Nothobranchius furzeri: one gene and its partner. The protein of the gene in region 1 purifies or fractionates together with the protein of each later gene. This does not show direct contact. Links are inferred from orthologs where the notes say so. Each region holds a gene or a part of one and is shown on either strand. Other genes may lie near its edges.

Region 1 (3,819 bases):
ACCTTCCTGTCCAGCACAGCAGGTAGGACACACTGAGCATATACATCACACATCCATGCGCCTCGTATTATTCACCAGAAAGCATTTTAACTTTGTTCAACGATGAGGGAGCTTTAAAAACACTGATCCAGTTTTCTGGACATCTCTGCCTCCACACCTTAAAACGGTTTATGTACTTAAGGATTCAAAAATATTATGACATCTCTGGAGAACTTTCAACATGTTGGTCCCTGCTTTTTTAATTCAAGGAGCAATCTAAACGCAGGAGCTCTTCAGTCCGTATTAATATTACATCTGCTTCACTAATTGATCTGCAGAACAGGAAATCCAGGTTTCCAATAAAAACTTAAAGAAAAAGTTCTTTTCACAGCATTTGCTTAGAGCCACAGTACTTTGTTGTTGTATTGGCCATTATATGTGAATTATGTCCTACTTTGACTGTAGGAAGTTGGAGTTTTAGTTTTGAATCTTATCGTAAATAAGTGATTTTAGGTTGTCTGTCTGCTCCTTTCTCCTGTTAACAGCATCGACACAGGTGAGAGCCCCGTGAGCGGTGGGCCGGCCACTGCCATGGATCAGCCACACGTGATCCCCAGTCAGGGAGACTTACTGGGTGACCTGCTGAACCTGGACCTGGGCCCTCCAGTCAATGTTCCCCAAGTGTCCTCCATGCAGATGGGTGCGGTGGATCTTCTGGGTGGAGGCCTGGATAGTCTGGTGAGCTCATGCTGATTTTTACAGTGAATCCAGATAATTAGACATTTGTCTTTTCAAATTCAAATGACACATCAGCAACAGCCTGGTTTTGTTAGAAATACAGTAATGAACACACACTGTCCGCTGGAGGAGGAAACACTAGTAGTAGTTATTACTGCTTAGTCCTTCAGTTTTAAAATAAAAATATCTGGTGTAACACTTCTTATATATGAGTTAATATCTACTGTAGATAATTATAATTTAATAATATTCAGAAATTTCTTCTCACACCAGCTTGTTTCAGGCTGCAATCTAAATGTCTTCCAGAGTATTTTTTATAGATGCATCAGAGATTTAGTATTTTCCCAGAACGCAGTGAGAGGTTCCTTTTGATTGGTCGCTAAGAAAGTCTCTCTCTGTTTTTGTTTGTGTGTTCGGTGTGTCTGCGATGTTTGGGGGGCTGTAGCTGGGAGGAGACCTGGGCGGAGGTGTTGGGGGAAGTCCAGCAGTAAGTGGAGACCTTCTGTTTGACCGTCTGCATGCTGCACGCGTCCTGAATATAGTCATCATCACACTCTTAAGCTGACACCTTCAGCTTTTTGTGGATGACACACTTACATGCATGCTTGTAATGTTTCAGCCCATTTACTGGTAATGAAAATGAATTAACCCATTACAGGAGAATCCATCTAATTAATGTTCTAGTCTAGTTCGTGGACAAAATTTTATTAAAAAAAAAAAAAAAAAAAAGCATATTTGGTTTCAGAAATTCATGTAATTGTTACATAAAACATAAAAAACAGCAACAGGAGCTGAGCGGTTCCTTCCCGACTTTAAGCCTTTTGATTTAGCTGCTTCCATGTGTATGAATAGCTGGGTTATCTTAATCATGTTCTGTTTTGTTTATAATTTTTGTTTTAATCCACAATATATTAATAATTGAACTTTTCTGAAAATCTAATTTAATGAGCTCTAGTGATTTAGCCTCGGGTGCCAATAGTTCTGCAGGAAATGGGCTAAAACACACACACACACACACACACACACCGTTCTTTGTTACCTGCCTGGTTTTTGTTCTAAGTAGCATTAGCTTCTCATAATAACATTCCTCCTTCCTTCTGAGCATTAAAGCAGAAATCTGGAGCTTTTCCTCATAGTGCACCATCTAGAGGCAGAATATATAGAAGAAGTAGAAGAAGAAGAAAATACCATTTCTATAGCGCCTCTCAAGATAAAAATCACGAGGCGCTTCACAAAAACAAAAAATGTAAAAATATAAATAAGCATTTAGAAATTGTTTAAAATATATTAAAATGAGCAAAAATAGGCAATTGTGATTAAAAAAATGTAAAGAAAGAGAGAGAGAGAGAGTGAACAGGAAAGAGGGAAATCAGTGGATCCTGAGGAAGGTGGAATAGGTGGGGAGAGCAGAATAAAGAGAGAGTGGTGAAGAAGGTTATACAAATGCCAGCTTGAACAAGTGAGTCTTCAGCTGCTTTTTAAAGGAGACCACTGAGTCCACTGATCTCAGGCTCAGGGGGAGAGAGTTCCAGAGTCTGGGGGCCACAGCAGCAGATGATCTGTCACCTTTGGTCTTTAGCCTGGTGCTGCACAACCAGTAGACTTTACTATATACTGTTTAACTGTAAGTAGTGCCAACTCTGCATCTGTCTAGGGATATCCTCTCACTCTCGCACGCTCTGTGATTGACATCTGTAGGTAAGTGGATGTCTCACCCCGGCTTTCCACAGGAGCCGTCAGCAGCACGTTACTGCAGCAGCACGTCATAGCTGCTGATAGGAACTGCTGTGGTCAACAGAACCTTTTCCACTGGAGCCGTCGGCAGCGCGAGTCGGCCGCGTCTCAGGAGCAGCATGTCGCGGCCTTTACGCGCCGGTTCTATTTTCTACGCGTGACGCCTCTGAAACGGGTCAAGTTCGACATTTTTGGGGAAGGAAAGACAGGAAATCGGACACGGAAATGGAGAGAATCTACCGAGATTTTCAGAATAAAGAACGTACTGCTTTCCGGTTGCTTTACTTTTAAAAAAGGTTACTAACAGTGCGTCCCCGTGAGAAGTTATCACCTAGCTAGCGGTCTCCTTTGTTTTTCAGGTCAGTATTGGCGATTATAAAACGGACAGAACATAAAACACAAACCATGTTGTAGTTTTCTCCTGCTTGTTGTTGTGTTTACTGACAAAGTCACTCGTGTGACTTCGTGCTCGGTCGGTGACAGCTGCTCCCCTGCTGCTTCGCGTCTCGTGGGAAGGGCCAAGCAGCAGTTTACGCGAGCAAGACGTGCTGCTGCAGTAACGTGCTGCTGACGGCTCCCGTGGAAACCCGGGGTCACGCTATTGGCTAGTGCTAAGCAGTGCTCAATTCAAATTCCATGGGTCTCTATGGGACGGGGGAAGGGCTTACCCAAAAATTGTATTACCTACATTGTATCAGAGTAAGAATATCACTTCTACAGATTTCTAAAAAAAAAAAATCTTACATAATTCCTGAAAGGAGGGAAAACTCCAGATTGCTGCTTTAAGGTTCTGTGTGGGATTTGTTTAATGAGCTTTTAGCAGTTTTTATTAATCAAACTTGCCAGAGGTGCTTCATCCAAAAAATTGCTAATTAAAATGTGTTTATTTTTTGTTTCTGTTCTTGTGTGATTTTTTTTAGGTGGGGCAAAACTTCATCCCTTCATCTGTCCCCAGTACGTTTGCTCCATCTCCCACACCCGCACCTCCAGCTGTCAGCAGCAGCGGCCTCAATGACCTGTTCGAACTCTCCACGGGCATGGCCACCACCACCGGAGGCTACATACCGCAAAAAGCAGTGAGTGAACACAACCTAATCCCAGAGGTGTACGTTTCATTAAATGGTAGAGGTGACTTGTGTGGTGGCTTTTACAGGTGTGGCTTCCTGCAGCTAAAGCAAAGGGACTGGAGATCTCCGGAACCTTCTCTCGTCGTCAGGGACACATGTACATGGACATGTCTTTCACCAACAAGGCTCTGCAGCACATGAATGATTTTGCAATCCAGTTCAACAAGAATAGGTTAATGACAAAAAAATCCTACCTGCTGCTCTGATTTCAGTCAGAAACTCACAGCTGGAGACACACTCA
Region 2 (4,600 bases), on another chromosome or scaffold:
TCAAACTCCACCATCGGTGATGATGAATGATCTTAATATCATGCTGGGTTTGTCATGTTCATGCTACATTGCTCTGCAGAGCGAGAAGTGATGCTAAATGCTGCAGATGACGGTGACGGAGCTCGTAGTGAGGAGACACAATAACACCACAGTTGGCACCACACTGAAAGGACATTACAGGATAGTACATAATACAGTACACTCATGGTGGTTATACAAACACAACACTGACACGGTAAATGAGGAGAAGACACAATGGAGGCATGGATGTGATCAGATCAGTGTGAGAAGCAGGGGGATTTATGTCAACCCAATTTCTTCTAAGACACTACGTGGGGCCTCTGCTTCCTGTAAGAGTAAAGAGAAAGTATCAGGACACCTGTCACACATTTTATACATAAAAATATCAGCGTTAGCCACAAAGTCAACACAAGCTTTAACTTGCAAAGAAGACAGCTTTCAGGCACACGGTGATGTGGTGTTTAGGAAATGATCGTACCTCCTGCAATAAGTCGGCTTGCTCGATGGCCTTCAGCACATTCTTTTTGGATGTTTCCTGGGCCTCTCCGCCCAGCAAGAACTCATCCAGGATAAAATAGGCCTTCTCAAAGTTGAAGATAATATCAAGCTCACACACCTATAGGACAAAAGCACCATATAAAAAAACTACAGAAGGTCAGGGAAGATTCCATCTTTGCAGCTTCTCAGCACTACAAATGTGTAATATTTGCAAAACTCACGCTGCCAAAATATTTGTCCAGAAGCTCCACGTATCTATGGATGATTTCCAGGGTGATCAACTCGTTATCTTGATCCTCAACGGCGCAACAGAAGTACAGACTGGCATATCTATTTATGTATGAAGAGAGCAGACATGCAAAGATCAATAATAGCAAAAAGGGTGGGACAGCATTTGTATTTTCACAACTTACATGCATGTTTGTAATTGTTAATAAAATGAAATCCTAAAACGGTTTCTCACATGATCCTCTATGGCACAAATCAAGCAGCTGGATTCCTTACAAACATGTCCAGATGCGGCCACATGACTCCCATCCTGAATAGCACTGGCTTCCAATCTGTTTCCGAGTTCAGTTACATGTTTTAACTTTTGTGTGTGATGGCTGTAATGGTACAGCTCCCCCTTTAGAGCTGATCCTGTCCTATGTCTCCTCCACATCTTTGAGGTCTGCAGATCACCTGCTCCTGTGTGTCCCTAAATTGCACTACAAGTCTCAGGAGCAAGTAGGGCTGGGCGATATGGCCTCAAATCTATATTGCGATATAATCTGAAGCATGTGCGGTAACGATATATATTGCAATATTTTTTTCCCCTCTGTTAATACATGTCAAATTGACATGCTTTTAAATATCCTCATGTGACAAATATATGCCACTTGAGGCATATAGGCCTCCTCCTCCGCAATATCGCGGTATTGCGATATAGCCAAAAACACTATCATTAGCCAATTTTTTATCATTTCTACCTGATATCGTTTATATTGCCCACCCCTAGGAGCAAGTCTAATTTGCCAATCCTAAACTCTAAATTCACTCGTTACATGTATGGCAGGCCCCATTAATAGCCCGTTTTAAGTCTGTTCTTAAGGCCCACTTTTATCATTTATCTTTTGGTCAGTAATTAGGTTTTTCATCTTTTACCATCTGCCGTGTATGTGTGTTTTATTGGATTATGTTTTGCTGCTCACGTGTCTTCATTATTGTGTTTTTGCTTTTCAAAGCCCCTCCTCTTTTAACCTCCTTGTTCATGTGGTGCATTGTTTTAGATATTATACCTTGCTGTGTTTCTATCAACTAGATGTGATGCCGTAATGTCAGACATTGTTGTCTGTCCTGTAACTACGGAGCATCCTTGTTCCTTTGTGAAGTACTTTGGTCAGCTGTCACGATGTTTTTAAATGTGCCATTTACATAAACACGGTATGTATGAGCTACTTTAGCCAACTTTTTCTAGACTATTTCTGAATTTGCTGATGAAGATGCAGTTTTTAAAATAAATCTATAAATATTTTAACATGGCAACAAGTAACAATAAGCATCCAGTTGAAAAGACTTTATTCTCACATTAATGTTTATATAAATTAGCTGTAGTGAAAATCATAGAGAAACGTTTTTGTTTTTGCAGGTCTCACTAAATTGATGTGAAAAAGCCTGTAAGTGAATATTTTAAGCAGATTATGGTCAATTTGAGGAAAAACAGAAGTGTGTGCATGCATCATCAAGTGTGAGGGTACTTGAATGCCCTCTAAAACTTTTAACTTACCTTTTGTACACAATCTTGAGGTCTCTCCATTCCAAGAAGCTGCACATCTTGGGCTTCCTGGCCAGAATGGTCTGGACCAGGTCTCTCGAGATCTTCTTCCTCTCCTTGTCAGACAGAGGAACATACCATTTCTGTAACCGCAGCTTCCCCTGCCGGCTGAACAACAGCATGAACTGCATCTGAGGAAGGAATAATGATGGTCGACATGTAGATACAAATAAATACGAAGAACAAAGGAAGACTGGATGTTTGAGGGTATATGGATGCGGGAAACTGAACTAATCACGCAGCAATGAACGTGAGGCAAAAAGTCAGTGAAATTAGATTTGACTGAACTGTTTACTAGGATACATGGAGGTACCATTCGATCAAACGACTTTTAGACTCAGTACATAACACACCCGTGAGGCTTTAACATAACGTTAGATTATCTCACGTTAGCTAAGGTCGCTTAATTGTCCTATTTTAACATCTAAACCACGTTTCGTGACATTTGCACCCCCTCCTGCGACGCCTGCTTAGCTACAGCAAACGAGACTGAATACTCATGACTTTTAATTTGGTCTGCAAAACAGTGACTTACACGAACTGAACTTCAGTACAGTAAAGTTAAAAATATTACCATAGAGAGCCAAAAGACACTTCTATCTGTCAGATGATTAGTTCCTCCTTCTGCTCGATGCTAAACTGCCTAGCGAATGCTGGGTGTGAGAACAAGCGCAGGGATTGGTCAACACAGCAAAGATTCTGCAATGTGATTGGTTGAAAGGTTCCGTTATTCCTTACGTTGTACGTCAATCCAGAAAACATTTTTGTATCAGAGGTGCTGAATTTCACTTCCACCAGAAACCTAAATGTGTTATTTTAAAAACAACAAGAAACAACCAAACACACAAGGAAGCGAAGACTTTTTTTAGAGTTAAGCAGCTACATAGATGCGCCCACAGTAATTTCCTATTAATGAGTAAAGTAAAATTAACAGTTGTGAGGGGCAGAGTCTCTCTCTCTCTCTCTCTCTCTCTCTCTCTCTCTCTCTCTCTCTCTCTCTCTCTCTCTCTCTCTCTCTCTCTCTCTCTCTCTCTCTCTCTCTCTCTCTCTCTCACACACACACACACGCTCGCACATTGGTTTTCTTTTCAGATTCTTCAATTGTAAAACCGACCTCTGCTGGACTTTCGTCGCCCTCAAGTGGCTGGCTGTGGTATTACAAAACAACAAAAGTCTTCAAAAACGTGTCATGGTTGTTTTTCTAATGTTTGTGTTAAAATGTTTCACTTAAAATATGTCTCTATTTCGGCTCTAAACAAATAATAGTAAAGATAATTTTGCATATAATAAGAACTATTCGAAGAGAATTTTCATAAAGAAAGTCTCGCAACTTCAATGTACAACAACAACAATCCAAAAACACTTTGATTAGAATATACTTTATTGATCGCACAGTGGGGAAATTCACTTGCTACAGCAGCGCACACACTTGGAGAAAAAGGAAGAAAACAAATAATAACAAGATTACAGGTAAACACACAAACGCAATAAGCTGTTATTGAATACTTCATCCACTAAAAACAATGAATAAAAATGAAAATTGTGTTTCCAGAACTATACAGCACAAAGGACACAGACATATTAAAGAGCAAGTCACCCCCTACCAGAGTATTACTCCACTCCCACTTCCAGTTTGAAAAATGCTACAAATGCTGTTGCCTAGCAGACTGAAAGGGCGGAGCCACCAACAAATATACACACATACATTTCACACAAATCTGTTAAAAACAGGGTCATTGGCCCAGGTTAATGGTTATGTGATCTGATGGAAAAAACATATTTTAATATGATGATGTCAAATAAATGAATTTACTCAGTAAGGTCCTGACTTTTGAATGAGCAAGAATGATCTTTAGCTTGTTCTGTTGCAGGTTATTTAGAGTCATTACAATTTAAAAATCCTATTGAACTTTTCGTGGAGCTCAATTTAACCATAAAGTTATCCACAAAACACAATCATACGATGCTAAAAATTTCAAAGAATAAAAGTCACAATTACTGTTGTGCAAAATTACAGCATCAGTATCATGAAAGATAAATCAAATAAATAACCAAATAAATAACGTAATATAAAGAAGTGATGAAATAAATAAAATGTATTTTTCATCATCAATATGATTATTATCATATATATTCAGTGCTTTGTAAAATAACATACCCTTGATTTTTACAGATTTTCACACCTTACAACCTTGTGAATGTTTTTATTGACATTTTCTTAAATAGACCAACACAAAGTAGCATGGAACTGTGATGTGGAATACAACT

What was found.
Region 2: the proteins of AP-1 complex subunit beta-1 (region 1) and AP-1 complex subunit sigma-2 purify together in Homo sapiens (affinity purification with mass spectrometry; 3 studies listed by BioGRID and IntAct, counting the BioPlex papers as one, with this or other methods). This does not show direct contact. The link is inferred for Nothobranchius furzeri from reciprocal best matches to the Homo sapiens genes AP2B1 and AP1S2.

The regions. Positions count from the first base shown.
Region 1 is NC_091750.1:66,899,384-66,903,202, forward strand, and holds part of AP-1 complex subunit beta-1, read left to right. Parts: coding exon 1-22; intron 23-524; coding exon 525-717; intron 718-1,162; coding exon 1,163-1,204; intron 1,205-3,371; coding exon 3,372-3,527; intron 3,528-3,604; coding exon 3,605-3,750; intron 3,751-3,819. UniProt on the Homo sapiens protein: Component of the adaptor protein complex 2 (AP-2). Adaptor protein complexes function in protein transport via transport vesicles in different membrane traffic pathways.
Region 2 is NC_091749.1:41,411,859-41,416,458, reverse strand, and holds the start of AP-1 complex subunit sigma-2, read right to left. Parts: upstream 3,017-4,600; 5' UTR 2,910-3,016; coding exon 2,907-2,909; intron 2,464-2,906; coding exon 2,285-2,463; intron 850-2,284; coding exon 741-849; intron 638-740; coding exon 500-637; intron 349-499; coding exon 301-348; 3' UTR 1-300. UniProt on the Homo sapiens protein: Subunit of clathrin-associated adaptor protein complex 1 that plays a role in protein sorting in the late-Golgi/trans-Golgi network (TGN) and/or endosomes.